2 linked regions of the Stegostoma tigrinum genome follow. The protein of the gene in region 1 interacts with the protein of each later gene in a pairwise test. Links are inferred from orthologs where the notes say so. Each region holds a gene or a part of one and is shown in the gene's direction. Other genes may lie near its edges. The genes, in order: znrf1 and ubiquitin-conjugating enzyme E2 E2.

Region 1 (15,331 bases):
TGATTGAATCATGGCTGACACTCCCATGAAAGCTTCGATTGAAATATGTCTCCTCGGTTAGCCTCATAATCTGCCCAATCTGCAACAGTCCGCTGTGCGTGGAGACAACAAACAATTCTCAATCATAGAATTTCTTCTCCAAGTGATGTGCACCAAACGGTGTTATTAATCTGAGGAAACATGCAATATCTTCAGTTGACATCTTTGTTCCCTGTTGTAACTTATCATTCTTTTTGCATGTAAATGCCCTGAAAATTAGCCATAACAATTGTGACAGAAAAAGCTCACATGACTTGATCTTGAAACTAAAGTGACTGCATGAAATTAACGTAATGCAGTTGTGAATAGATGAAAAGTTACAGAGCAGTTGTTACTTAATTGAATGATGGAGCACACTCAAAAAGCTAAAAAGCAGCTGCAAGTTGGTAATCTTCAAACTCCTTTGAGGGATCACTCTGAACAATGTCTCATCGTGCAGTGGTTACATGATTGATAGTAGATTGGACAAGACTCATTCTAAGCTGTCTCATCATGTCCCTATGCCATCATGGATTTATGATTCATCAGAGCACAATGCATTAGGAAGACAGCAAGGTCAGCAAAAATTAAACGTCTGAAAGGTACAGACACCAATCTTTTGGGTCATTTAAATGCTGTGCTGGTCCTGTAGCCTGGGAGCTAGTTCCTGTGGCTTCAGTTTTCTCCAATAATTTTTAAATTCCATTCAGCTCACTAAAATTATTTCAATACCCAAGGCCAATTCCGTTAATCCCCCTTGTTTTTTTGACACTGCGTTTTCATGCAGTAGAATTGTGATGGATTACCCTTGTCTAAATAAGAGAACTACAGAGTTTAAAGGACTATCCAAGGACCACTACTGTGATTGCAGCAACTATACAGTTATAGTCTATGACTTTGTCAAAGGTCTTTTCCCAGGGTTGGGAGTTCAAAACTAGAGGGCGTTATTTTAAGGTGAAAGGAAAAAGATTTTAAAATGACCTGGGGGTGGGGGTGGGGCAATGTTTTCACACAGAGGGTGGTTCATACATGGAATGAACTGCCATAAGCAGATACAGGTACAGTTACAACATTTAAAAGATATTTGGACAGGCACATGAACAGGAAAGATTTGGAGGGATATGGCTTAACATAGGCAAATGGGACTCATTTAGTTTGAGAAACTTGGTTGGCATAGATAAGTAGGACCAAAGGGCCTCTTTCAAAGGGACTCTATTATACTAGGAGAATACAATGATGTTACATTTGGTTTAACAGCTCCTTGATTTCCTTACATTACTTCTCCTATTTATATGTGTTGGTGGCAGCACTCTTCAAAACAATTGCTATAAAAAGGCATCCAGACAGTAGGCATCTAACAGTAGTTTGTAGAGGCCATGAAAACCATTGACCTCTGATATTGTTGGGTTTCCAGACCCTTCAATTGGAATGCCCCTGTCAATAATAGAATTCCTTTATTGTAAAATTGTCTTTAATGTTCTTGCTTATCCCAACGCAAGAGAAATGAAGTGGCAATGGTATCCAAAAATGTTAGCTGTTGACTTCAATCAGATGTCTTGTCTCAAACCTTACTCTTGGCACACGATCATGACTAACGCTTTGCCCAGCATACCCTCAGTACTGTACCAATTGGAGATCCTAAATAAAAGGTGCTGTCAATGTTAAATAGTACTTGCTACCATGGAAAGAATAGAAGGGTAATTGCACTGGCCAACATTATTTCCTCAACCTTCATTGCCACCAAATTAATCCATTGCTGTTTTGAGCTTGCTGTGCACAAATCAACTTCCTGAATTCCCTCAATTACAACAGTTATTGCATATGAAAAGAACCTCATAAGTAGCAGGGTGTTTGCAATGTCTTGAGGTTGTGAAAGACATAGTTTAATTACAAATGTACTTTTTTCTCCAATAGTATCACCTATTGTCTTTGAATGGCTGTACTCTTGAACAGATAATGAGTGACTTGTTATCACATATTCAGGCAGGTGTTTGTTAAGCATAGTATAAATGTAGATTGTAATACCAGATTGAACAATTCAAACAAGTCAACTTCAAGGATAATTGAGTTTGCGGCTTAAGGGAAGATGGATTAAAGGAATATGGAAATATGGTAGACACATGGGATATTTGGATTACTGTTCATTCTTATTTTATAGTTTTAAGAAGTATCAGGTGCCAGACCTATTGTAGTATTTGTTGAAAGTTCAACAGTTTTCCATGGAACATATTTTCTCCTATACAAAAGCAGAAGTTACCAGGAAAGCTCAGCATGTCTGGCAGAACCTGTGAAGAGAAGTGTTTCAGGTTCGGTCTCTCCAATATCAGTAAATCATATATATTCACCTCAAGGTCATATTGTTGTGGTAATCACTGAAGTATATAATGACCAAAGAAAAATATAATTGTCAGTATAACTCCTGCCATTCACTGGCAAGTGAAATAGCTGCCTTAATTTTACACATCAGCCAAGTTTAAATATTGTTCAAAACAAACTTAGACAGAACTCTTTATTTTCCAGGTGCCATTCTTGACTTTGAGAGTCACCAAACTATGATTTGTACTAGAGGAAGGGTGAGGAAACAGGCCCTGATGTCTATCTTTACTGAAACAGGGATCAAACTTGTTGTTTGATTTAACACTGTTGGTGTTATTCTGAACCACATCCTAGCCATCTAGCTAACCAACCACCTGAACAACTCCTAGTTACAAATGTAGAAAACATTTTTGAGCAATAATCCTTAACAATTAGGATTTGAACTTCACCTCATATAAATCTACTTTCTTCCCTACAGGCGGTAAAAAAATTCTACAAACCAGTTTCCTTTCTGAGAACTAGCTTATACACAGTATCTGCATCATATTAACTGATCTGCAATCAAACAAAGCCAGCATTTTTAGCTGCAAGCTGATCTCCGTGTGGGTTTACCATTCATACAAAGCATACAGAATAATTAAATTTCAAATGTTTTCCATGATACAGTTTCCCTGCCCTTATAAAACAGTGCAATTTAGTGTAAGCAAATCAAAGAAAATTCACTAATCTATTGCAATTGAAGATTTCATGACTGCCCGGTTTCTGCCTACTAAATCTTATTTCTTTTGTCATATCTGGTGTTAACTTTTCTCTATTTCTTATTTTTTTAAATGAAAAGAAGAAGCTCCATGCCAACTGGCTCCCGTCCCCAGGTAATTACAGACTCTAGATCTTAATCCCACTGCACCCGAAACTGATTTACCAGTTTTTTCTGAATTCACCCTTTTCCCAGCGCTCTCAGAATTTTCCGCCTTATTCCTATTAGACCCTAGACTGTCCCCAGTGCTGAGAAGAGGTACTGCTGTTGGACAGTGCCCCTGCTGTCATCAAACTTGTCATCTTCAAAATGCAGCATCACAGAAAACCAGTCAACACATTATAAAGAATAATTGATTTGCTCTCAACCTTTGAAGAATAACCTTCCCTGATTTTAAAGACTGGGGTTTTGGGAGTCATTTCATTCACCAAGCAGAAGAAACATCCCACTTCCCCACGCCATTTAATCAACCCCAGCAACACATGGTGATTGCTAAAATGACTGCAAAGTTATTGGCGACAGCTTATAGCGGGAAAATCATTGGTTTTCTTCAAGCTTCAGGTATTTTTACTGTCAGGAGGGAGACATCCATCCGCTCTTCCACAAGTCTGAAGGAGTTTCTTTACATTGTTCACACCCACAACCTGTTCAACCACTCAGGATCCAATCAGAAAGTCGTCAGGCTGATGACCTGGAGCGTCCATGACTAGTCGCAATTGCACAAATTCTATCCGCTACATGCTGTTGGCCAAACCTCACTTTGCGTACACCCCTCCATCTACGAACAGCCTTCCGTACTCCTTGAACAAAGCAGTTATATAACGCAAGGGCTTCCAGTCTCTTGCTTTTTTAAAAGTGTAGCAATTCCTTCCACAATCCTTTGTTTTAAAACAGCTTTCACCCACCCCACCCTGCCATTTCAGTCTACTATAAAAGAAAAAAAATGAATTAATACTTTTTTTTGTTATTGGTTAATCCTGTGTGATTTGATGCAGTAGGTGAGTCAGTGGTACGCCCTGCCCTCCACCCTCAACCAGACTATTATACATGATTACAGCTTCACAGTTAGCTCCAGTAACAGCGCAATGCTGCCGACGCCACTAATCCTGTGTGAGATTTGTAGCTGGCTACCAGCATTTATGGTGCTCTTGTGCTTGCAGGTGGGCTGGCAATTTCTAGGTGTTTCCAAACTTCACCATAATTGAACGGTTGTGTCGAAATCTATATAACCCTCCCTCTTTGCCCTGTTTTCATTTGGTTCTGGAGTTGAGAAACTTTGGCATTTTTTTTTCATTTCTGGACGATTCAGGAGCAAACAGATGGTAGTCTGGAATGTTTGCTTTTACTTGTTGATGTCAGCGAGTCTTTCATTGCTAATGATATGGAAACAATGAAGTAAAAATGTGAACTAATACTGAACCGCACAGTGTTTACATTTATATTGTTTAACAACTTATCAACTTTGAAGGTTGTCCCTTAGGATTGAGGATGGCTTGCTTCTAGTTACAGTGGATTCTGCGATGGTTTATATATCCGTTGCGTGATCTGCAGATTCTGCGATATGTGGGACAGGTGATGTTTTAAGGGTTGGACACACCTTGAAATTGTGTGGAAATACAGGAACAGCTACACCTCCCAGTCGCAAACCATTTCCATTCCCCCTCCCATTCTTTAGATGACATGTCCATCATGGGCCTCCTGCGGTGCCACAATGATACCACCCGAAGGTTGCAGGAACAGCAACTCATATTCCGCCTGGGAACCCTGCAGCCCAATGGTATCAATGTGGACTTCACCAGCTTCAAAATCTCCCCTTCCCCCACCGCATCCCAAAACCAGCCCAGTTCATCCCCTCCCCCCACTGCACCACACAACCAGCCCAGTCTTCCCCTCCACCCAATGCATCCCAAAACCAGTCCAACCTGTCTCTGCCTCCCTAACCTGTTCTTCCTCTCACCCATCCCTTCCTCCCACCCCAAGCCGCACCTCCATCTCCTACCTACCAACCTCATCCCACCTCCTTGACCTGTCCGTCTTCCCTGGACTGACCTATCCCCTCCCTACCTCCCCACCTACACTCTCCTCTCCACCTATCTTCTTTTCTCCATCTTCGGTCTGCCTCCCCCTCTCTCCCTATTTATTCCAGAACCCCCACCCCATCCCCCTCTCTGATGAAGGGTCTAGGCCCGAAATGTCAGCTTTTGTGCTCCTGAGATGCTGCTGGGCCTGCTGTGTTCATCCAGCCTCACATCTCAGGTTCAGGTTGGGGCCGGCTGAGGTAACGGAAGCATTGGTGAGCATATTGAAAAGAAGGACGGGAAGCGTCACAATAATTCTTCTAGCCTGTGGCAAGACTTGTTTTGTGATCTGATCTCAGTTTCCTGTATCCAGACTCTGCCCACACTGACTGCGATGCCACTTTCTTCCACACCAGAAACGTTCCTTTTAACCCTCCCATTTTCTCCAGCCCATCTTGCTTATTACAGAGTTCCCAAAAGTTTCTGCACGTCTGAGACCCTCCAGTTAAAGATAACAAAAAACAGAAATTGCAGGAGAAACCCATCAGGTCTGGAAGCATCTGTGGAGAAAGAAACAGAATTAAAATTTGGAGTCCAGTGACCCTTCTGCAGTTAAAGCTGATGATTGTACATTTCTGTGACATTCTATCCTTCGGTTTTAGCTATTCCTAGTTACTTGTGCTGCTCTGTAGTGTAAACCCAGATCATGGACTGAACCCTGGATAATATTTGCATACACTGTCAAGTCACATGCATATCTGTCACAACAATGTTTTAGTGTGCCAGGGGCTGACCATGCCAAACGATCAGCTCTGTGATTGTTACCTATGATGGGATGAAATGGAGGACGCAGCAGGCTGAAGCGTAAAACTCCTACCAAACCCGAACCCTGATCTCGCCTATGGACTGGAAAGATTGGGTTGAAATCTCCACCCATCCATTCCCAAACCACCGCCGGCTTGAATGTCAATTTTGGAACCCGTTATAATTATTTATCTCGACAAAAGTTAGATTTCCTGCAGTCGAAATCACACTAACTTCCTGGACCAAGCGCAGTAAAAATGGGGCCGGGCTGGAACGTGCTAGACAGCTTCTGTACACAGCCGTAAGGCGATCTCCTCAGTCCAGCGCGGCCTGGGTAGGGGGGGCTGAATCAACAACCAGGTCGGCATGAATGAGTTGGGTTGAAGGGTCTGTTTTCGGGCTGTATGACTATAATTCTAAGCTGGCCCATCTCTCCACAGATACCTACTGACCTGCTGTACAGTTTGGGTCTCATTTCAGGTGGCCAGAAATATATACTTCCTCTTGTTCCCTTTCTAAAAAAATGTGAAAACAGAAATGGTTGGCATTGCACTAGATGAAATGAGTTTCCAATCAGCTCTTTTTTTAAAAAAAGTAGCGTCACAATAAATACGTATGGATTTCTCCATTTGGTGCCATGAAAAGTTGAAAAGGTTCATGACGGAGGACTTTCCTATTGCGAATGGCCTCCTCCCTCCAAGAGCATGTTGTAAATGTCATCGCAAATATTGCAGTCAACCAGACAGAAAAAAAAAAGTGCAGGAGCAAACTACTGCAGATGCTGGAAAGTGCTCTGAAAACTAAGAAAATAAATGCCGCTTGAAACGTTAAGCTTGCTTTCTCCAGAGATGCTGCCTTATCTCGGTGTGGTCTCCAGCAATTTTTGTTTGCTGTAAAAAGTTAAAGGTTTTTTTAATGCGTACATTTTGCATTTTGAGAATAAGCATCTAGATTCGTGCAATCTAGTACAATATCAATTAATCCATAATCTGTTGGCCAGGATGCTGCCTGGGATTTAATTGTCTCGGGAGGAGAAGAAATACTATTCCTTCTCGTCCCTCTGTGGGGCGTACATCATTGTAATACCGTGCGTTTACATAGAACAGTTAACTACACACTGGCTCCAATTCACCCCAGATGGGATTAGTGAGGCTGAGGTACCAGTGTCTTATTTGGCAATTCTTACTTTCCGAGGTTCTGGAGAATGTTTTGTTTTACTGATGTATGAAGCCAGGGACGTGCTGCGGAGTGGAATGGCCAGCAATTCTCTGCGAGCATGAATCAGATTAAGCAGTTTTGTTCAGAAGGGTCACTGGGCTCGAAACGTTAACTCTGCTGTTTTTCCAGAAATTTCTGTTTTTGTTTAAAAATTCCTGGGTTGCGCATGGGGCACCTCACCCTCACTTCGGGCTGCTACTGGCCGATTGTTTTACTGCTTTCTTTGAAATAAGACGATGAGCATCCTGTGAACAACGTGGTTGGAAAGTACAGTGGTCACTGTTTAGAGCGGTTTTACTCCATCTCCAGCCTCGCGGGACATCGCTTGTGACTGGCGCTAGTACCAATCTTTCTAAAGGTGAATTCACTTTCCCCACTGAGCCGGTCTCGGCTGACCACTCTCCTAGGAGTACGGCCGGAGTTAGTAACGCCAGTTAACACATAAGCGTAATGCGGCGAGCTCCGCTCATTCGCACCCAGTGAGAAAGCTGTCCGGATACTGCCTCTTCCTATATTGGATTGCCCGGAGCACTGACGAAATAAACCATCTGTCAAGCATATATCCAAGACAGCTCCGGGCATCCTGGTGGGCTCGCTGTATCCGAACAAGACAAACTGCTTTGTTTAATGGAGTGTCGCGGAAAAGTTTTAAAAACAAACGCCTTTTCTTGAAATAAACCTCATTTCCTTGCTTTTCAGAACCCTGGGCAGACAAGATTTGGACTTTTTTTTGTGTGCGTGTGTTTGGGGGGGGGGGGGGGTGTAAGAAATAACCAATACGAAGACTGCGGGAAATGTGATAGGGATCGGATCTCATGCCTTGACATTTCGGCTGGGGTGAGAAATGTCATCACGAGCGAGTTGACAGATAAGACACCCAAACAACATCGAGAGGGAGAGAAAGAAACAAGCTATCCTGGTGCAAAACGAGTGTTGGGAAATACCTGCCAATGAGATGCAGACTTGTTGGGGGAGGAAGAGGAGAAGTTGGTCAAATGCAAAAAAAAAGATAAGGGGGGGAAAAAAGAAGAGAGAAACTGTTGCTTCCTTTATGCCACATCCTGCTTGTATCAAAGTGTAGAGAACACTGACAGCCAGACAAGGCAGTGAGTGAAGTGACTGACTGACTGACTGACTGGAGGGGGCTTTGCTGGCAGCGCGAACTGCTCATGCGCCTTGCTCTCACCTGGGCTAACAGGAGCTGGGCTGGTGCGGGAGGGACAGGGAGCGGGGTCGAGGGGTGAGGGAGGGAGGGCGGGGGGGGGGGGGGGGGGTGGAGGTGGGGGCTCTCCCGGGGAGTTTGTTCGGGCGGGCGGGCGGGGGTTTTAGAACAGAAGAAGAAGATGGCCGATAAGGCAGAAGTTGGAGAACGCCAGGGTTAGACAGCAGCTTCCCTTCACCCCCCCCCCCACACAAAAAAAATCAATCACTCCCCCCCCCCCCCGCCCCGCCATCAGTCCAGTCAGTCAGTGAGTGAGGGAGGGCGAATGGCCGCGGCCGAAGCCCTCGTGTGAGACCGGGCGGCGGTTAAACCCCCCCCCCCCTCAGGCTTGGGGGGTCGACGGTAGATTAACTACCACCCCCCCCCCCTTTCCCACACACAGCCTCCAGGGGAGGGTTGTTTATACCGCCCGCCGCCCATGGGAGGGAAGCAGAGCACGGCGGCCCGCTCCCGGACCGCTTTCCCCGGCGTCTCGAGCGACGACAGCGCCGTCCACACCGCTCACTACGGCCATTACCGGGCGTCCGCCGCCGGCACCGCCGCTGGAGGTGGAGGTAGTAGTGGTGGAGGAGGAGGAGGAGGCCCCGCCATGGGGCTCAGGACTCGCTCGGTTAGCAGCGTGGCCGCTATGGAACCGGCTCATCCTTTCGGGCTGTACAGTGGTGGAGGTGGAGGGAGCCGGGCTGGAGGAGGAGGCGGCAGGGTGACCGATGGTGTGGAGCACAGTAACGGAGGAGGTCCCGACTCGGCCGGTAACGGTTACCGGGAGACAGGAGGAGGCCCGGCCGCCCGGGAACTGCAGCTCTACCTGGGCTCGAGAGCGGCCTCGCTGTCCGACTCGCTGCCGCTTCACCTGGCGGCGCCACGCTGGTTCAACACACACAGCGGTGAGTGCACCCCTAACCAGCAACCAACTCAACCACTAACCCTACTCTGTCACCACCCGGTATCCTTCCATTAATGAGCAATCAGCCACCAGTCCAATTCGTAACCTGCCCCAATTAACCACCCTGAGGCACCCCCGACGCTGGCTGATATCTGGTCATTCATGCCTGTTGCCCCCGTCGATTAATAGCATGTGAAATTTCCTTTGGTTGTCATTTTATTCAATGCGGGGAAGATAAAGCTGTCGTAATTGCTGGTACCAGCTGATTATCAGAAGTCATAGTCGTCCATTAGTATCACCGTTTCTGATCTTTATTTGCTGGTTAATTCATCAGTAATTGGTGCTAACAACAGTTAATATATTATCAATACTTATTATGATGGCTTATTATCATTTGTTACAAATTTAGTAAATATTGCAGTACTTAGTGCTATCAGTGTTTGTAATAATCATTCTCTTCTGTTTTATAGTCATATTAGTTACAATATTAATGCATAATAATAACATTCCTCAACTGCATCATACATATATTTGTTGACACTATAAATGGTATATTTCAGGATGGAAGAAAGCTAACATGGCTGTCCCAGTGCTCCCTCCTTATTGGGTAATACACAGTGTATCATTAGTAACTAGTGTTCTGATTTCACCAGGATGGGGTTATCAAAGCTACCCTTGATTACTGTTAATGCTAACACTATTGACACTCGTTATTGCCAGTACTTAAAAATAAGCTCATTCAGTTTAAAATAGTTAATTCTCTTAAACTTTGACTCTTATAAGATTTTTGATTTCCTCTGCCTTTTTACATTCCCTCTTACTAAGCAAAGCCTTTAATGAGTTCAATAATACCAAATTTATAATTAAATCAGAATTATTGTTTACACACAGGTTTTGGTTGTAACAATAGAAATCCACTTTGTTTTAGATGGAGCTATAGGAGTAAGATGTTAGCACTGCTATCCTTTCTGATGTAACGTTCTGGCCATTCAGAAAGCCAGGACCTATTAATGTTCACAATCCTGAATGAATAAACAGCATAGTTAGTATCTTGAGGCCAACAGGCAAGAATTATGATGGATTAAATATTCAAAGTTGCAAATAATCCAAAAACAGATTGGATTAACACAGAAATTTCTCCCATCTGTACAGAAGGGAAAACATTTTCTCTGTTTCAGGTCCAATGGCCCTTTGTCATGTTCCCAAAAAGTAGGCTTTAGAATAAATATTTTTATCAGTAAAATGATAATTCTGTTTACAGTTGGGGACAAAATATTGTGTTATGTAAACATTGCTTGTATATCACGTGATGCTACAGTATGATGTCTTGCTTAATTGGAACCATACTTTGACGAGTATGTCATTGAAGGCAGATTGACTTCAATTACTCAGCGTTATTGGGAGCAGCAGTGTATTTGAGCGCAGTGTCGATGGGTTGGAGAGGAGTTGATACTTTAGATGTGGAAGATAAAAGTATACCAGATGGTTAGCATGAATGAGTAGAAGAGTGGTCAGAACCACTTGGGTTTTGGAAGTAGACAGACGTCACAGACATTCAGGTTGACCAAATGAATTGGAGACAATGGGGGAGAAAAGGCTGGACCAAACCTTTGTTTTGGTGGAGTTACAAATACATGGATGAGGTCACTATGAGAAGGTGACGGAAGTCAGTTAGAGATTTGAAAGTGAGGATGAGAAATGATAATTTCTTGGAGGACATAATATCACTGAAACTTTTGAGAGCATTATGTAATGTTACTGTATGACTTGGTGATGATGAGAATGGGTGCTGAGTATTGAATGAGTACCAAGTTGTAGAAGGTTGAGAGGGGAGTACTGGTCTGAAAGATGTTAGTTAAATTTCATTGTGAGGTTTAAGGTTTTAGCAAAGACTTGTTGCTCAGATTGTCGTTGAGGTTGTTGACTTGCTCGTTAAGCTGGCTTGTTCTTGTTCATGCCAGCTTGGTGAGCAATTCCTCAACTTTACTATGAGGTGATGGAACAGGGTTTTAGTGGTAGTAGAGCAAAATTATGGAAGGTACTGGGTATGCTTTTTAAAAAAAAAGGAAAAAAGTGGCCTTGGGATAGTGTGCATTGGGAAAGATACAGTTTGAATCAGCAATATGCCATCGTGCAACACCTTGTTAGATTGAGATGGATTGTAAAAAAACCAGCTGGGTTGAGACCAAACGTATGAAGGTGCCAAAGGCAAACAAAAAGAATGGCTTTATTTATTCCAGCAGTAAGGCAGATGAAATGTTGGCTTTGTGGGAAAAGTGATTTATACAGTGTTTTGCAGATCTTCAAATTAGAGACCTATTTCATAGTTTTGCGCTCTGAGTAGGAAATGGAGAAAATGATCTGTCTTTTGGGAGTAATTGCTAGACAGTACTTTGTTTTATTTGGCAGTGTTGCTGATGTTGATCAGGAAGTAATCTTGAAAAAGTGAGGATAGTATTTTGCTTTTATTGAGATAGTAGGAACTGCAGATGCTGGAGAATCTGAGATAACAAGGTGTAAAGCTGGATGAACCCAGCAGGCCAAACAGCATCAGAGAAGCAGGTAGGCTGACGTTTCGGGCCTAGACTCCTCTTCGGAACTTCTTCATCCAAAGGGTTATGACTTTGTGGAATTCCCTGCCCAGTGAAATAGTTGAGGTTACCTCATTGAATGCTTTTAAAGACAAAGATTTTCAAACAATAGAGTAATTAAGAGTTATGGTGAGTGGAGGGGTAAGTGGAAGTGAGCCGTTTAAAAGATCAGCCATGATCTTTCTGAATGGCAGAGCAGGCTCAATGGGCCAGATAGCCTACTTCAGCTCCTATGTTCTTATGTACAACTGTGACTACATTTCAGATGTATTTTGTTGACCGTAAACTTCTTTGCGTGGTCATGAAAAGCACTATACATGACAACACAGCGGGCCAAGCAGCCTTCAGAGGAGCAGGAAGGCTGACGCTTTGGACCTAGACCTTCCTGCTCCTGTGCTGCTTGGCCTGCGTGTTCATCCAGCTCTACTGCTTTAGTTTTTATATGCCTTTTTAATGTAGAGAAAAATACTAAGCCGTAACTTAACCCTGGAAAGTTTGGTCTTCTACTGCCAAGCAGACTAAATTGAAGTTTAACCATTGGCGTTGAGATCTGCATGTTGTGACAAATCAGGCAATGGATTATACCAGTATGTTGCCATTGGATCAGCTGTACTTCTACGGAGCCACAAGGGGAAGGGGGCATGAATTGTCTCTTCATTCCAAGAAAGGCTAAAGTGAAACTTAAAGTCAGCAAGTTACTAATGAGTTTCTTTTGACCATTTCCAGTGATGTGATGCAGAGCAGACTAAGTGAGATGCGCTAACTTGAATCAAAGAATATTGTGTATTTTGGGATGCTGAAAAACATACTAACACAATTAAGGCAGCGGAAAATAGCATTAATGCTAAGTTGTAAAGGCTAGAATGCTATTGATTTGCTTCTGCAGCTTTGTGAATTACAAAGAAATAATGCATTGTATTATATAGTGCTTTTCATGACCACTCAAAGCAGTTTACAGCCAACAAAATACTTCTGAAATGTAGTCACAGCTGTACATACGAACAGAGGAGCAGAAGTAGGCCATCTGACCTATTGAGCCTGCTCTACCATTCAAAAAAATCATGGCTGATCTTTTTGTGGGCTCACTTACACTTACCCCTACACTCACTCTTAATTCCTCTATTGTTTAAAAATCCAACATTGTCTTTGAAAGCATTCAATGAGGTGACCTCAACTGCTTCACTGGGCAGGGAATTCCACAAAGTTATAACCCTTTGGATGAAGAAGTTCATCCTCAACTCAGCCCTGAATCTGTTCCTCCTTATTTTGAGGTGATGCCCCCTAGTTCAAGTTTCACTAACAAGTGTAAAAAGCCTCCCTGCTTCTGTCTTACCTATTCCCTTAATAATTTTATATCTTTCTATAAGATTCCCCCCTCATTCCTCTGAAGTCCAATGAGTCTGGGCCCAGTCTACACAAACTCTCCTTAAACCAATCCTCTGAACTCTGAACTCTGGAATTAACCTAGTGAATTTCCTCTGCACACCCTTTCTCATGTAAGTACTGCCAGTACATCCTTTCTTAACTAAGGAGACCAAAACTGTACACGGTACTCCCGATATGGATTCACCAGCACCCTCTACAGCTGCGGCATAACCTCGCTATTTTTGAATTCTATTCCTCTAGCAATGAAGGACAATATTTCATTTGCCTTCTTCGTTACCTGCTGCACTTACATACTTTTTTTTCGTGATTCATGCACAAGGAAACTGTAATATAGGAGTATAGTTAGAATCCAGCTATCAGCTACATGAGGTTCGGTGTCAAATATGATGGTTTGCTCAAAGTGGCTGCTACTTGTAGAGGGAGTGTGAAATTAAATTTGAAGGCAAATTTCAACTTTGTTAGGGGTTGCTGGGGTATGTTTGTGCTTTGGCTCTCAAGCCTTGCGAGCCAGGGTTTTTTTAGTGTTTGGGAAGACACCAGAATAGGTGGGAGAAATATGGCAAATAATGTGCTTTAATAGTGCAAGAACATTCCTCCAGTCGTAATGTAATAGTGAATGTGCCCTCTTTTTTACACCACTATAAAATCCTGCTTTGAATTTGTTTGGAGGATTTTGGAGCTGTAACTTATTAGAATGCTAACAGGACAATTTAAAAAAAACCCCAGAAAAGAACAAAGCTAGGGTGGAAATTCCTAACGATAATAATTACAGATGTGACTTAGGTTGTAAAGTTGGGGTTGCCTACAATGGGTCTCCATCTTAATGGGGGAAAAAAAACTGTTCTAATTGACTTGCCAAATTAATTAACATAATTTGAAAAATTAAGTTGTCACCAGCTGATATAAGGTGGTCTGAACAATGTATAAATGAATTGTTTGGGATTGGAGGGAATAGTGGACAATATATCCAAGACTAAATAGAGGTTGAAAGACATGTGACATTCTGCAGACTGATTTTTTTTCATTGAAAACAAAGGCTTTCAACTTTTGTAAGTTGAACCAACAACATTTTATGGCTTTGACACTGTTTACACGCTTATCCCCGGCCTTATTGTGATTCCAAAGGGAACTTGCAAACCTCCTTTCCCAAAGCTATGTTCACAAAACTCTGTTTCATTTTTCATACTATCCCATTGTTTTCCCCCTCAAAATAAAACCTAGAAACGGTGGAAAATTTGAGCAAAGACATTAGCTGGATAGGTTACTCCAATAACTTTTAAGCTTGGACAGGAAAAAACTTGACAAGTGATAGACATTTCCCCTCTCAACTATAGAATTTTTCTTTTCCCTTTCAAGAACTATCTTTCTGCTCTTATCTGTGCATGTTCCCTCTTTTTGCATGTTCTTATTGTCTGATCAACTGTAACGTTTCTCTCTGATTTTTTTCTGGTGTAAACTATTCTCCTGTACACATTATCTTGCCTGCTCCCCCATCTACCATTTTCAACTTTAACAAATTATTTTGTAGTACCTCTAAACTATAGGATTTGTTATTTCCCTTGCTGTGTCTTTTATTGTGATTTGTCAAAGTTAAATTTAGTAAAATTGCCCAGTATGCCTCCGTAAACCAATCTGCGGTGCTTTTTATAATTTTCAAATTCAAAGTAAATATGAGTTCTTAATTACCAACCCTCAATTTACTTAGTCCTCTCTGATACTCTCTTCAACCTTTGTGGGCCTTGGTTTTACTTCTTTGTTTACAAACTTATTAGATATACCATTTGGTTACAGGAAATGGTGAGTCTAAAGATTAGAATTGTTTTTTGTTTTGAAGCAAACATTTTGTTGGTTGTCCACAACTATAATTTATGAAAAAGGTTTGATCTGTGAGCTGAAGTATGTTTTAACTCTGTCTGAATTAGCTTGAGATTACAGCAATATCAGGTGAAATAAACTTTATTCAACCTAGATGACTTTTGATACTTTATTTGTTGTAGGAAATTATAAATATTCGTGCTTGATGCAATGGAAGTCAATATTTTGTCATGGAAAATGAGCAGCTGACTGTAAAAGGAAGCCACCATCATTGCATTGTGGTTAGAACAATAGTGATTA
Region 2 (15,336 bases), on another chromosome or scaffold:
TGAATGTTCATATGATTCAGTCTGTTTCAAAAATGACATCTAAAGAACAAAGAACAGTACAGCATAGGAGCAAGGCCTTCGGCCCACCAAGCCCGCGCCAACACATGATGACTTTTTAAACTAAAAATGTTTTGCCTCTACGCAGTCCATATCCCTCTATTTCCCATCTATTCATGTAACTGTCAAGATGCCTCTGAAACGTTACTATTGTATCTGCTTGTACCATCTCCTCCTGCAGTGGATTTCAGACACATTCCACCCTCTGTGTTAAAAGCTTGCTTTCACATCTACGAATATATAAATGAGATGGTCAAGATATTTCTTAACATTCTGGATTATTTACAAGAGAAAGTAATTATAAAAATCAAAATACTTGCTCTAAGATAGGTTTATATCTACTTGTATGAATCTGCTCAAGTCAGAACTTATGCCAAATATTAGTTTAATGCTCATGACAGTAAGAACGTTGCAAATGAGAAGCCATTGAGAAAATTCACTCCAATTTGTGCTGACACTATTATCAGGACTCTGTTAAGGTTAATGGTTTATACAAAAAATATATTTATACAGTAAAATGTAAACTAATTCATTTACAGAACCTGTTTCTGAATTTTTATAGTAATGTTTATTACAATAACAACCTCTCCACAAACCCTTGAGTATATTCATATTTTATATATATTCTGTCCATGAGTTCTCCACCAACAAGGGAGAGAAATTCATTTGTGAAACACTGAGATAAATGAAGAATTCCACTGCATGGTCCTCTGCATTGTCTGCCCTGGGGGAATTAATGTGAGTCTGTGTAACAATGCTACACATATTAATTTGTCCCCATATGTTTATATGAAGGATGGCAAATGTATTGACATTTAAACCAATTTCTTCATCACTGTAACACAAACTGAAACATTGTCATTGATATATATGTGGATGTACTATGATAACGAAAACATCACTATCTAAAATAGGAATGCTGAATGGTAGTAGACAGCAGTTTAAATTGGAAATGCAATTTAAATGGATATCCTGACAATCACAGCCAAGAAAGGTGGCAGGGAAAGAGTCCCTGACCACGGAATAAGCATTTTCATAAAACACATTGCTAAGGATTAAATAAATTAAGTTTATCAAAAATATAAATACTTATGTCAGGTGTTTGAAATTAGTGCTTAAATATTTGTCATGGCAGAATTCAGTTTAGAAGTTTGCATGTGGTGAATGTTTATTAAGTATGTCTGTCTTGCATATGCAGTCACCTGAATTATTTGTGCAGTTCACACAACTGATTTGGAAAGGGCATGTGACAGAATAAGCTTTACAGCAGAACATTCAACAAACAAATGCTTCATCACACTCAGCTCTCAGGCTGGATCTCCTGACGTTCTGGCCATATAGGTTTGGTGGTCAACTAATGTTATCATCTTGGTTTACATGAGTTTCTGGTAGAATATCACACAAGAGTCCAAAAAACATTGATTAAACAGCTCTAGAAATTAACAAAAGGCAGAGGATTTGTTATTCTATTGCTTGTTTGATGTTGTTAGCCTGTAGCACAGATTTTGTGGTCAATGGTTAAGCAATGATGCTCACTTTGTTTCTGTCTTCAATGGAGGCCCAACCAGTTTCCATCAACCATCACTGTCCTCCACTTGGCTGAACTTATTCACTCATTGAACAATTTGTCCCTTGATTCCTTTAACATTCTCCAAATAGAAGGTACCCATATGAACCCCCTCCCTCAATTGTTATTCCTATTGATTGATAATTATATTGGTGCCATTGTAGTCATGCGAGAACTGCATTATTGTGATTAAACAGCAATAAGCTTTATTCATAACTATTTCGAGTGATGTGCAGTTTCTAACGACTCTTATTTGAAGTCCTACAAATCTAGGTTCCAGTTCCATTTGATCCTTTCACACATGGTCAGTAGGTATATACAGATAAAAGTATAATCAATCTGTCAAACTAAATTTTTAATGGCACCTCTTTTTGCGACAACATTTAACCATGATCATTGAACTCTTTAACTTCACTTATCCACACCCCTCTCCATCCATAAATCTCATTTGCTTGAGGGCCTAACCTCCGACAACATTCTCTGTTCTCTTCGAGGATGTATAGGATGAATATGCTCTTTTCTCATTTCCTTGGAGGGCTTGCACAATGGTAGAATGGAATGGCAGCTGCTAATGGCCTTACCAGAAATGTCACATTCAATTAATGAACATATTTACAAAAAAAAATGTTGAAAACAACAAAAAAGGACACAATAAAGCCAGCATGCAACATTCAGCTTAGACCCTTCATCAGAAAAGGGGGATGGGGACAGGGTTCTAAAATAAATTTCAGAGATTTTGAAGCTTCACCTGCACATCTGCCAATGTGGTATATTGCATCCACTGTACCCATTGCGGCTTCCTCTACATTGGGGAAACCCAGCGGAGGCATGGGGACCGCTCTGCAGAACACCTACGCTCGGTTCGCAACAAACAACTGCACCTCCCAATCGTGAACCATTTTAACTCCCCCTCCCATTCCTTAGATGACATGTCCATCCTGGGCCTCCTGCAGTGTCACAATGATGCCACCCGAAGGTTGCAGGAACAGCAACTCATATTCCACTTGGGAACCCTGCAGCCCAATGGTATCAATGTGGATTTCACAAGCTTCAAAATCTTCCCTGCCCCCACTGCATCCCAAAACCAGCCCAGCTCGTCCCTGCCTCCCTAACCTGTTCTTCCTCTCCCCTATCCCCTCCTCCCACCTCATGCTGCACCTCCATTCCCTACCTCTTAACCTCATCCCGCCCCTTTGACCTGTCCGTCCTCCCCGGACTGACCTATCCCCTCCCTACCTCCCCACCTATACTCACCTCCACAGGCTCCATCCCCGCCCCTTTAACTTGTCTGTCTCCTCTCCACCTATCTTCTCCTCTATCCACCTTCAATCTGCCTCCCTCTCTCTCCCTATTTATTTCAGAACCCTCTCCCCATCCCCCTTTTCTGATGAAGGGTCTAAGCCTGAAATGTCAGCTTTTGTGCTCCTAAGATGCTGCTTGGCCTGCTGTGTTCAGGCAGCCCCACACTTTGTTAACTCAGATTCTCCAGCATCTGTAGTTCCCATTGTCTTTATGCAACATTCAGTAAGCTCTTACTGAAAAATAATGTCACACAGGCTAGGTTGACGAGGGCAAGTTCTCAAAAAGAAATCAAATATCTCTTTCCTGCTACTTGTTCATAGATCCTTACTTCAATGCAAAATGTTTGGCTAGTTAAACCCTGCAACTATACTGGCTTTGCTGTGAGTATGGAGGAAGAAGAGAAGGTGAAAGTATGCTCAACAGCAACCGCATTGTGGACCCAAGAGTCAGGGGACTCTGCCTGTACAGCATCAAGCAGTAGGTGAAAAGTGGAACTAGGGCCTTGAGTATTGTCAAGTACTGTACAGTGACAGGATGTACTGAAAACATTACAGCCACCTGCAACTGAGTGAATGCCAATGCTACATTAGATCTGCGTGACTACAGATGACATTACCTACGTCTGCCACATTCAGCAGAAAGATTTGCAGACACACAGCTTGGTTGGGATCATTGTACCTATGACACTGAAGATCACAGCAGGATTGAAGCTCTACTTTACCAGGGCCTTTCAAACCTCAATTGGGGATTTGTGTAGCCTATATCAATCAGCCATGAGCATGTGCACTTCTAAATACATGAATACCCTTCTGAGAAAAACACCTTTGTTTACGAAGTTCACCATGGAACAAGAGTGCCACACTCCCTGAGCTGTCAGATTTGCATTCATTTCTGGGTGCCCTTAGGTCCAAGATGCAATTGACTGCAGGCTCAGAGTTTCCTGGCATCATCCAGCCAGAATCCTTTCCAGGTCATGATTTCACTTCCTCATTGTCCAGCTCATTTGTGATCACAGGCAATTCTGCAGGCTTGTACTTGTTATCCAGGGAGCTGTCATGCTGCTTACATTCTACACAATCCACAGTGCCATTAATATTCACTTCCCCCTACATCCTGTCTCCAGGGTTGGCTCATAAATGACAAGGGCTAACCTCAGAAGTTATGGCTTAATAACTCCACACATTGACCCGAGTCTGCTGCCACACATCTCGCTAGATAGGAGTCTAAGAAAGGGAATCAGCAGAGATGCTGTGGCAGGTGAAGCTGATGCTGCTGCTCTTTAATTAGCTAGGATAGTCACGAGACAGAGCAGAAAGATACAAGAGAACCTGATGCCTGCTAGATTTCAGATCAAATGAATTTGCTCCAACATATGTGAATACCCAGAGCAAGGAGCCAACTGTAGCTGAGGAGCATTCCTTTCCTGAGATAGTAGGAACTGCAGATGCTGGAGAATCTGAAATAACAAGGTGTAGAGCTGGATGAACACAGCAGGCCAAGCAGCATCTGAGGAACAGAATGGCTGACGTTTCAGGCCTGGAACCTTCTTCAGACCTTTCGGTCCAGGCCCGAAACGTCAGCTTTCCTGCTCCTCTGATGCTGCTTGGCCTGCTGTGTTCATCCAGCTCTACATCTTGTTATCTCAGCATTCCTGTCCTGAAGGGAACATGTGATTTCTAACATTTTGTGCTTATGTTCCTTTGTTTGCCGATACTGATTGTTCAAGTAAGTAGAAATATATGCTTTCCCAATATTGATTTAAGGCTAAATATTAGCTGGGACAACAGAGGTAAATCCGCTGCTCTTCTTCAAATATGCCATAGGATCTGACAGCACAGATGGGGCATCATTTTAAATTCTGATCTGATGTACAACATCTCCAATAATGTAGTATACTCTCAGTACCGAACTGGAGGGCTGTTTCATTTTGTATTCAACTTGTATTCATTTTATCTTGAACCCAACTTTTGATTCAGAGGTAACCACGTCACCAATTGCTGACACAATTGAATGATAAACTTCATTGTACCTGAATGGTACTTATTGTTTGGTAAAAGATGTCAAAAGCCATGGTTGTAGATGTTTTCTCAGAGTCAAGCTTTCATTCTTTCTCTTTAAATAAGTACGGCACAGGTTTGGTGCTATGTTCAAGGTTTGCCAATTGTCAAGGTCACCGTGATTTCCTGAAGCTCAACTGACCGTCCGAATGAATATTACTCAGAGCCTTTTACTTGTTCAGAGTCACATACAACATCTGAAAACTACTTTGTTTAATTTTCCCAGATTTGATACCTATTCAACATTGGGTAGGTTGGGCAGATATGAGTTCAGTGATGTACAAGGGAGACTTAATGGACAAAACACCCTGTAAGGATTTTTCTGTCTTTTTTCGTAAATTAATGGATGGGTGTCTTAAAATAAAGGTCTTGTGAGAGTTTTGATAAAGTGGACATGATTCCATGCATGTTTGCTCTGGTGACCTTATAAAAACCAAGTATTGCCAAAACAAAATCTTATTTGATTGATACAGGAAGCAATGTTATGCGCCTGAAGTTGAACTGGTTATATGAACGGATTGCTGATACTTTGAACTCTGGGATAGTCCAGCCATCTTACACAATTGTATTGACCAGATATTTTTCTCCAATTAGTCAATGGTAAAAATTGTTCCCTGTATTGAATAAAGCAGATTGTCTTTTTAGTCACCTTTGAACATCAAATTGTCTTCACATCTGTAGTGCAGCTTTGTTGGAGACAGCTACAGCAACATACTGATTTAATCTAGCACTTTTAACATTACAAAATGTATAAGCCATTTCTCGGAAGCATTATAAGGTAAAATTTGAGAACCGGCCATATAAAGAAATTTTAGGCACCATTCCCTAAAGCCAGATCAAAAGGTAGGATTTAAGACGTATCTTTAATAAAAGAAGTGAGGTTGAGGAAAGAAATTTCAGAGCTTAAGACCATCGATACTGGAGCCATTACCTTAGGAATGCTCAAGATGCTGAATTAGAGAAGTGCAGAGTATTGAAGGGTTGGAGCAAATTATTGGGATTTGGATGAGCAAGGCCATGGAGGTATATTTGAGAACAAGAATGAGAATTTCAAAAATAAGGGCTTGCTAGACCTGTAGCCAATGCAGGTCAGCTAGTACAGCAATGATGATTAAACTGGACTTGGTGTGAGTTAGAATTTGAGCAACAGAGTTTACAATGACCTCAAGTTTAAAGAACATAGAATGGGCAACGCCAGTCAAGTGTATCTGGGATAGCCAAGTCTAGAGGTAACAAAGTTTTAAATGAGGGCATCCTCAACAGATGAGATGAGTTAGGGGCAGAGGTGGACAATGTTATGGAAATAAGTGGTTTCAGTGATAGTATGGCTATGCCATCAAGGATTCATCTCAAAATGAAATTTGACACTAAGATTGCAAACAGTCTATTTCAGTCTCAGGTAACTGTCAGTGAGAGAAACAAATTCAGTGGTTATGGAATTAAATTTGGGGCAGGGATTGAATACTTCAGTCTGCCCAATATTTAATTGGTGAAATTTCTGTTCATCTAGTACTGTATCCAGAAAACAAGAGGACTGATAATTTAGAGACAGTGGAGGAGTTGGGTGAGCAGTGGTGTGGTAAGCTGGGTGTCATGGGTATACATGTGAAAACTGAAACTGCATTTTCAGATGTTCTTTCTAAGTGGCAGCGTGTGTATAAGAAACAGAAAGCAACCAAAAATAGATACTTGACGGAAGAGAGGTAAAAGTGCAGGAAAGAGATGTTTAGAAATTGAATATCTGTGCTGTACACGTATTGGCACTTTCAGGTCTATTATTCTATAAGAAATAGCCACTTAGACTCCTGTTGAAGTTTATAATGGTGGAAAATGGGAGATGGTGGGCTATCCAAGATAGCATTGGAATAGTCAAGCATGGAGGTAACAAAAGCACAAATTAGTGTTGCAGTAGCTGGTGAGCTGAGACAGGGATAAAAGTGAACAATTTACAGAAATGGAAGGAGGAGGTGATCTTGGTGAGGCAGAAGACATTGGATTGAGCTCAGTTCAGAGTTCAATAGATCAGTACATAAGAACATATGGGTTCAGAGCAGGAATGGGCCACATGTCCCCTAAAGTCTGCACAGGCATTTAATAAGGTTGTGGCTATTCTGATTGAAACCTCAAATCCACATTTCCAACTACTCCCAATAACCTTAAACTCCATTGCTTGCCAAGGATCTATCTGGCATTTTCTTTAAAAGTCTTTCACTGCTTTTTGAGGAAGAATTTCAAAGACATACAACCATCTGAGACAGAAAGACAGTCCTCATCTCTTGTAGTACTCAATTGAAGAGCCTGTGCAGGCACAATTGGCCAAATGGGCTCCTTTTGCATAGAAATAATTTTATGGTTCTGTCAATTAGCTATACATAGCTCCTCTCCAAAGTATTTAATTCTCTGTAAAGTGCTCTGAGATATTTCTGAAAAATGAGATAGGTACTCTCATAAATTTAAGACTTTTTTCACAAGAGAGGCTATAAATATACTTAAACAAAACAAGTTGTATTTATTTCTAACACACATGAAGGAAAGTTACATTTTAAAAAGACCTTTCACAAAGAGTTTTAACATTCCATCACAAGATCGTAATAAATTTAACATTCCCTTAGGTATAGGTTGGTTCGTTGTCATCCTATTCGAACAATTCCAACTGTTGTCTCAGATTGAATTTCAGACAATGTCAGAAACCACCGCACCAAACAGATTTCAGCATTTATGTTTGTTTCAGAATTTGTTCAATTTATGTAATTATTGTCCCTGCATTTAGATCAGGCTAGCAACCTGAATTGACAGCTCCTAAACATCACCAGAATGAATCAAATCTGACGATGCTCAGTGCAGCATGTATATCATTGACTGCGATGCGCCAAGTCTCCCACTGACTGTTTCTGGAGTAAGTGTTGGATTGAGATGATGATCGCGGTAGTCTGAGAAATTTGACGCAAGGACTCAGCGTGTTTACTGGATGTAGCCATTCCAGTCATTTCCCTTCACTCTCACACCCCATGTCGAAAATAAGCAGTTAGCCTGGCACCATAGAATTAATTAATCGTTTTGCTATTTTTTTTTTAAAAAGTCAGAAGAACAAACTACTTTAGAACAGGGACCGAACTGCTGTTTCTCTGGGAGTCACATGCAAAATCTGCACCTTTTGGTTGGGAATAGGATCCCTAACAGGAGGGCAGCTGGCGGGCGGTGGTCACCGGACTAATCCTGAAAGATCCGAGAACCTCCAAAGGGAAGACAGCGGGAATTCTGAATCAAGAAGTTGTTAACGGATCAATAGGGAGACGGCTCTTGCCCACTCACTGAATCAGCAGCGCGGAGTCGAGGTGTAACCGCCCGCCCTCGCGCCGTCACTCAAAGACAGAATGCGACGGTTGAATGGAGCACGCGCACAGCCGCGCCCCGCGTGTCCCCTTCCCGGCGATGCTCCTGGCTGGGAGAGTGTGCGCACTCGTGAGGCGCGTGTGCGCGCGCGGTGGCGAAAGCGCTGATTCAGTTTTGGGGCGCGCGAGCATGTGGTTCCGTGGAGACCGAGCGAGTCCGTGCGCGCGCGCCAGCGAGGATAGAAGCGGCGTCGGCAGCGGATAGCTAGATAGGGGAGAGGGGGCTTCTGCTCATGTGTTTGGGATTGGTGTCTCCTCCACTTTCTCACCAACATCACCAGTCAAACCCGTTTGGTTTCCGTCTGTTTCAACTCCTTTCTTACTTCCTTGTTTATTTTTCAGCGTAACCCGAAGACATAGACAGCGATTCCCCCCCACCCCAGTCACTGCTCAGGTAATAAGATTTTTAGGAAGAAGAAGAAGAAAAATGAGAATCACCTCCTTCTTTCCCCGTTACCCCATAGAACTTAGTGGCCCCTCTAAACGACTGGACAGTTTCCAAATCCGGCCTGAAAGTTAGAGTCGAGAGTGGATGGTGTTTAGCTGTTTTTGTGTGATATTCCTCTCTGTGTGTGTGAGGGAGATATTGGAAACGAGCAAGGCCTTTAAAGCATCAGTCACTGCACACTGGTTTGCAGTTTCTCATATCCGACTTTCTGCAAATGACAAACTGACCCCCCCCCCCACTTTCGCCCCAAATGACATACAGTCGGTGTTTAAAACCTCCTTCCGTCTGCTATTTAACCACATCAAGCGCAATTTGACGTGGCTGTGAAATGTTCGACTTATACTTCGCTGGTATTGTTTGTGTAACTGTTGGGATTTATACTTGGTCGGAAAAAATATAAATGTTACAAAACAATGCTGTTGTCGAAATTGAAACACGAAGAGACATGATGTTGACCTAACAATGTTTACATTCGGCGAATGTTTTAGATACAACTTAGATACACCTTGCGGTCGATTTCAAATCTGTATTGGAAATTACGTTTGTTTTTTGAAGCTGTTTCAGCGTTTGTGAAATGGGTTAAAAAGTTGGGATAGTGGATTGTGTCTTTTAATGATTTGAAACAAGATTGTCTTGAACTTCAAGTATTGCTCAATTAATATATTTGCTATAAATTCCAGAACGAGTAAGATGTCCAGTGAGCCGCAGACGGCTGATGACAGCCCCAGTACCAGTAGTGGCAGCTCAGATGGGGATCAGCGAGAAAGTACTCCTCAAGAACAAGAGAGGGAACAGCCACAGCCCAAGAAAAAAGATGCCAAGATTTCCAGTAAAACTGCTGCTAAACTTTCAACTAGTGCTAAAAGGTACCAACTTACTCGAAACTGATCATGTTGTTTGTCCTAGGAGGAATCCCATTATGTTTTATTAGCAAAATTAGATGAAGAATGAACCAAGACAATATAGCTTTCTTCTGATCTGAAGCCAGTGAGCTATTGTTCTATTCTTTTGACTGATGCAAGCGTGGACATTTATCTCTCTTGAATCGAATTTCCTCTGCAAGGCAAATGTTTTCAGTGAAAGTTTTATCTCAGCTTGGTACATTTAGTGATGGGAATGTAAACACATGTTCAAATGCTACCCCATAGAAGTATGGACCTACAGGTTGACAATTAGTGTTTTTTTGGTTCTGCTGTTAAACTTTGCCAACACAAGTCTCTCTTAACCATGCACCAGTGCCTGTACTGGTACCAAACTCCTGCAGCTAAACAATTATTGGATTCTGTAAGGGTTTAAATTTGAAGGTAGTTTTAAATGGGCCATTGATTCACAGTGAGCACATTTCACCTTGCTGACCTAGTTCAGTTGCACCCTCATGTTGCTTGAAGATTGTGTGCTCAGGCTATATTTCCTCATCCACCAAACACACCCTCTGGTCTGTATGAAACTACAAGACCGCAACACTATTAAAGGTCCCAGTCTTCAAATGACATGTAAAACTCAAGATTTTATCTGCCTATTTCAGTGGCTAAGATTAAGATTAAAGATTTGAGGAAAGCCCCAGAGTTCTGAAAATATTTTGACCAGCAGTATCTACTCAACAAATGGCTTCAAAAAAAGTAATGTGTTATTTGCTTACTTAGTTACCCATCTCATTACTACTTGTTGAACATGGCTAGGTGCAAAATGGTTGCCATGCTTTCTTAGTTCAAAGCAACTTGTTGTGTGGCATCATTAGGAATGGCTTGTGTCTCTACCTCTGGGCCAGATATTCCTCTTTTAAGTCATACCAGGATTTGCTGGCTATGGAAAGTGCATTTCTAACTTTGCCAATCTGCTTGATTGTCTTTCTGTAAATCCTTCCAATACAGATATTTCTGTTATAAAGTGTGTAGCACAATTGAGGAATAGTGGACACTGTTTGGATAATGTGAGGTTTCTAATGTACAGTATCGCAATTTCCTTATAAGCTGATTTTTCTATAGTAAGAGGCCGCACAAAAATGCAACTATCGTGTTACAGGAGAACTAGCTGTAAGTGTGATGACAAACTAAGTGGGAGAGTTGCCTGATTAGCCATCTTGATGGGAGCAATAGCAATTGCTGCAATACGTTGCTCATAAATTTGAACCAATCCAACGAAAGTCCATGCCCAACCACATAACCAAGACTAAGAGAAAAGCTTGGCAGCATATTAAACTTTACCTTGTCAAAGTGAAATGGTGCTGTATATTTTCCAACTTTTTTGTTTGATTAAAAAATTCTCTTTACAAACATACAAACATTCAAAATTGAAACATAAGTAGACCATTTGCTCCCTCATACCTGCTCCACCATTGAACGAGATCTCTTTGTTTAAAATTCCATACTTAATCTATTCTCAATAAACATTTATTGGCTTGCCTAACAAGAAACTATGTAACTTGGCCTTAAATATTTAATAACATGAGCTCCACTGTTTCCTGCGTCCACAGAATTCCAAAGTTGCACAACTCTGAGAGAATGTTGTTTTTTCCCTATATCTCTCATAAAAGGCCAACCCCTAATTTTAAAACAGTCTCCCAGTTCTAAATGCACCTGTAGGAGGAAACACCCTTTCAACATTCACCGTGTCAGGATCTTCTCCATTTCAATCAAGTCATCTCTTCTGAACCCCAATGCTAACAAGCACAGCTTGTTCATTCTATCATCATATGATAACCTACTTATTCCAACTATCCTCTGAACTTCCTGCTGTGTATTTACATCCTTACTTAAATAGGAAGACTAAAACTATTCAATTATTCGAGTTGTGGTCTCACCAAGGATGACTTCTTTACTTTTATGTTCTAATTCCTCGTCGTAAAATATAGCATCCATTAGCTGCCTTGATTATGTACTGTGCCTGTAAACTTTTTTATGACACAATGCCCTAGAACGCCTAAATCCTTTGCACCCCCGAGTTCTGCATTTAAATAATACACTGCTTTTTTATTCTTGCTGTGAATAAAATGAGCAATTTCACATTTTCCCACATCATACTCCACCTGCCAGATTTCTGCCCACTCCTTCAATGTATTAATATCTATCTGCATTTTCCTCATGTTTTCTTCACAACATACTTTCCTATGAATCTTGGTGGCATCAGTGAATTTAGCTACAATGCCTTCACTCTGCTCTTCTAAGACATTGACGTATATTGTGGAAAGTTGAGTCCCAGCATAGGCACCTGCAGGACTCCATTCATCACTTCTTGCCAATCAAATAAAAATCCGTTAATACATACTCTCTGTTTTGTGCCAGTCAGCCAATCTTCTGTTCATGCTAATATGTTACCCCCCCCCCCCCCCACCCCGCAGCTTTCTCAGAGGAAGAAAGACAGGTGGGTAGCAGAGATGTTTGAAAGGGAATTCTAAAGCTATGATCTTAGGCAGATGAAGCACTGAATCAAAGAGGTTTTACTATGTTTTTTACTGTTTGGCCCATTGTTTCTGTACCAACTGTCTCATGGAGTAATATTGGCTTAATGTTATTGCCCTGCTATTGTCCTCTTTTTCCATACCCTTGCACATTGTTTCCACTTAAATGATCATCTAATGACTTCTTAAATGCCTCAATTGAATCTACCTCCAACACATTTCCAGGCAGTGCATTCCAGACCTGAATCACTTATTGTTTATCATATCACGATTGCAGTTACTAATGCAAACTATTGTTTAAATGTAATTTCAGTTAAAGAGCTCCATATTATATCACCTTATCAACCTATTGAATTATTGAGACAATACTGCTGAATTTATTATACAATACATCAGGACTGATGAGAGCAGACTATTTAAAATCAAGGATGGTTGTGGCCAGGATTAGATGAGTGCTGGTATCATACATAAGGAGCAAGAGGGTAACTAGAAAGGGTTGGCCCACTCAAGGACAAAGGAGGATAGTTATGCGAGGAATCAGAGAAAATGAGTGAGATTCTTAATGAGTATTTTGCGTCGGTATTCACTGAGGAGAGAAACAGAATGGATGTTGAGGTGAGGGATAGATGTTTGATTACTCTAGGTCAAGTTAGCATAAGGAGGAGGGAAGTGTTGGGTGTTCTAAAAGGCATTAGGTGGACAAGTCCCCAGGTCCGGATGGGATCTCTCCCAGGTTAATGAGGGAAGTGAGAGAGGAAGCAGCTGGGGCCTTAACAGATATTTTTGCAGCATCTTTGAGCACGAGTCCGGTCCCGGAGGACTAGAGAATTGCTAATGCTGTCCCCTTGCTTAAGAAGGGTAGCAAGGATAATCAAGATAATTATAGACCAGTGAGCCTGACATCAGTGGTGGGGAAGCTGCTGGAGAAGATACTGAGGGATAGGATCTATTTACATTTGGAAGAAAATGGGCTTATTAGTGAAAGGCAACATTGTTTTGTGCAGGGAAGGTCATGTTTACCAACTTGATAGAATCCTTTTGAGAAAGTGACAAAGTTGATAGATGAGGGAAGAGCTGTGGATGTTATTTACATGGATTTCAGTAAGGCGTTTGATAAGGTTCCCACGGTAGGCGGATGGAGAAAGTGAAGTCGTGTGGGGTCCGGGGGTACTAGCTAGATGGATAGAGAACTGGCTGGGTAACAGGAGACAGAGTTGTAGTGAAAGGGACTTTCTCAAAATGGAGAACTGTGACCATTAGTTTTCCACAGGGATCCATGTTGGGACCATTGTTGTTTGTGATATACATAAATGATCTGGAGGAAAGTATAGATGGTCTGATTAGCAAGTTTGCAGATAACACTAAGATTGGTAGAGTAGCAGATAGTGAAGGGGACTGTCAGAGAATGCAGCAGAATATAGATAGATTGGAGAGTTGGGCGGAGAAATGGCATAAGAAGTTTAATCCAGGCAAATGCGAGGTGATGCATTTTGGAAGATCCAACTCGAGCGAACTATACGGCAAATGGAAAAGCCCTGGGAAAAATTGATGCGCAGAGAGATCTGGGTATTCAGGTCCATTGTACCCTGAAGGTGGCAACGCAGGTCAGTAGAGTGGTCAAGAAGGCATACGGCATGCTTTCATTCATCGGACGGGGTATTGAGTACAAGAGTTGGCAGGTAATATTGTAGTTGTATAGGACTTTGGTACAACCACATTTGGAATACTGCGTACAGTTCTGGGCGCCACATTACCAAAAGGATGTGGATGCTTTGGAGAGGGTGCAGAGGAGGTTCACCAGGATGTGGCCTGGTATGGAGGGCACTAGCTGTGAATGGAGGTTGAGTAGATTAGGGTTATTTATAGTAGAAAGACGGAGGTTGAGAGGGGAGCTGATTGAGGTCTCCAAAATCATGAGAGGTATAGACAGGGTGGATAACAAGAAGCTTTTTCCCAGATTGGGGGACTCAATTACTAGGGGTCGCGATTTCAAGGTGAGAGGGGAAAAGGTTAAGGGAGATATGCATGGAAAGTTCTTTATGCAGAGGGTAATGGGTGCCTGGAATGCATTGCTAGCGGAGATGGTAGAGTTGGGCACGATAGCATCATTTAAGATGTATCTTGACAGATACATGAATGGGCAGGGAGCAGAAGGATGCAGATCCTTGGAAAATAGGTGACAGGTTTAGATAGAGGATCTGGATCGGTGCTGGCTTAGAAAGTCGAAGGGCCTGTTCCTGTGCTGTAATTTTCTTCGTTCTTTGTTTCTTGTCTCCCCCAGCCTCTCTCCCTCCGAGATACAAGAGATTGGGAAGTGGAGAGTCTACAGTATGATTTTAAAAAATGAGTTTTTTGAAAAAAATGCAAATGTTTTAGTTTGATCTTGCTTAATAACTTGAATAGTGACATATTTGCCATTGCACTCGCCATGTTATCGAGATATAAATATCATGGAGTATAACACAGTGAAGACAATTATATTGTATGTTTTTGAAAATTCACCCTTGCATATACCACAGTTACCAACTTTGGAACACAGTAACACAATATTATTGCCAAATGTTACTAAATGTTTTCAATCAGAATTTACGCTATATCCCTGTAATTTGCTTTCTGAACAGCTCTCATCAGTCCTGATGTTATGTGTAATAAATTAAGTAGTATCGTCACAATAACTCAGTAGATTAACAAATCAGGTGATATAACATGGAACTCTTTAGTTTAAATTTAATTTCAGTTAAAGTTTGCATAAACAGTCTGCAACTGTCCAATTTTACAGTATACAAGATTGGGTTAGTCTGTACTTCTCAGATCTATTTTTGAGCTCAGTGGAACTTGATATAACCCTACTACTTGCAGCAAATATCAAGGGAGTTAATGTATATAGTTGTTTTATTCTTGCAGAACTGCTAGCATATAATGTGTCCTTTAGATTCCTTTGATTAGAATAAACATTATTTGTCTTCTACAAAAACACGATAAATTTTCAAGTAGTTTTATTTTGTTTACTTGATCCAATTTTACCTTAGCAGTCCAACCTGTGTTCCTATTAAACAGATTTTCTTATGTGCCTCTCTGTAGGATTCAGAAAGAACTTGCAGAGATTACATTGGATC

What was found.
Region 2: the proteins of znrf1 (region 1) and ubiquitin-conjugating enzyme E2 E2 interact in a two-hybrid assay, tested with the Homo sapiens proteins (2 studies listed by BioGRID and IntAct). The link is inferred for Stegostoma tigrinum from reciprocal best matches to the Homo sapiens genes ZNRF1 and UBE2E2.

Annotation. Positions count from the first base shown.
Region 1 is NC_081369.1:14,286,668-14,301,998, forward strand, and holds the start of znrf1 (E3 ubiquitin-protein ligase znrf1), read left to right. Parts: upstream 1-8,736; 5' UTR 8,737-8,771; coding exon 8,772-9,240; intron 9,241-15,331. UniProt on the Homo sapiens protein: E3 ubiquitin-protein ligase that plays a role in different processes including cell differentiation, receptor recycling or regulation of inflammation. Mediates the ubiquitination of AKT1 and GLUL, thereby playing a role in neuron cells differentiation.
Region 2 is NC_081355.1:65,288,567-65,303,902, reverse strand, and holds the start of ubiquitin-conjugating enzyme E2 E2, read left to right. Parts: upstream 1-8,232; 5' UTR 8,233-8,318; intron 8,319-8,513; exon of another isoform or gene 8,514-8,717; 5' UTR 8,718-8,769; intron 8,770-9,503; 5' UTR 9,504-9,513; coding exon 9,514-9,689; intron 9,690-15,301; coding exon 15,302-15,336.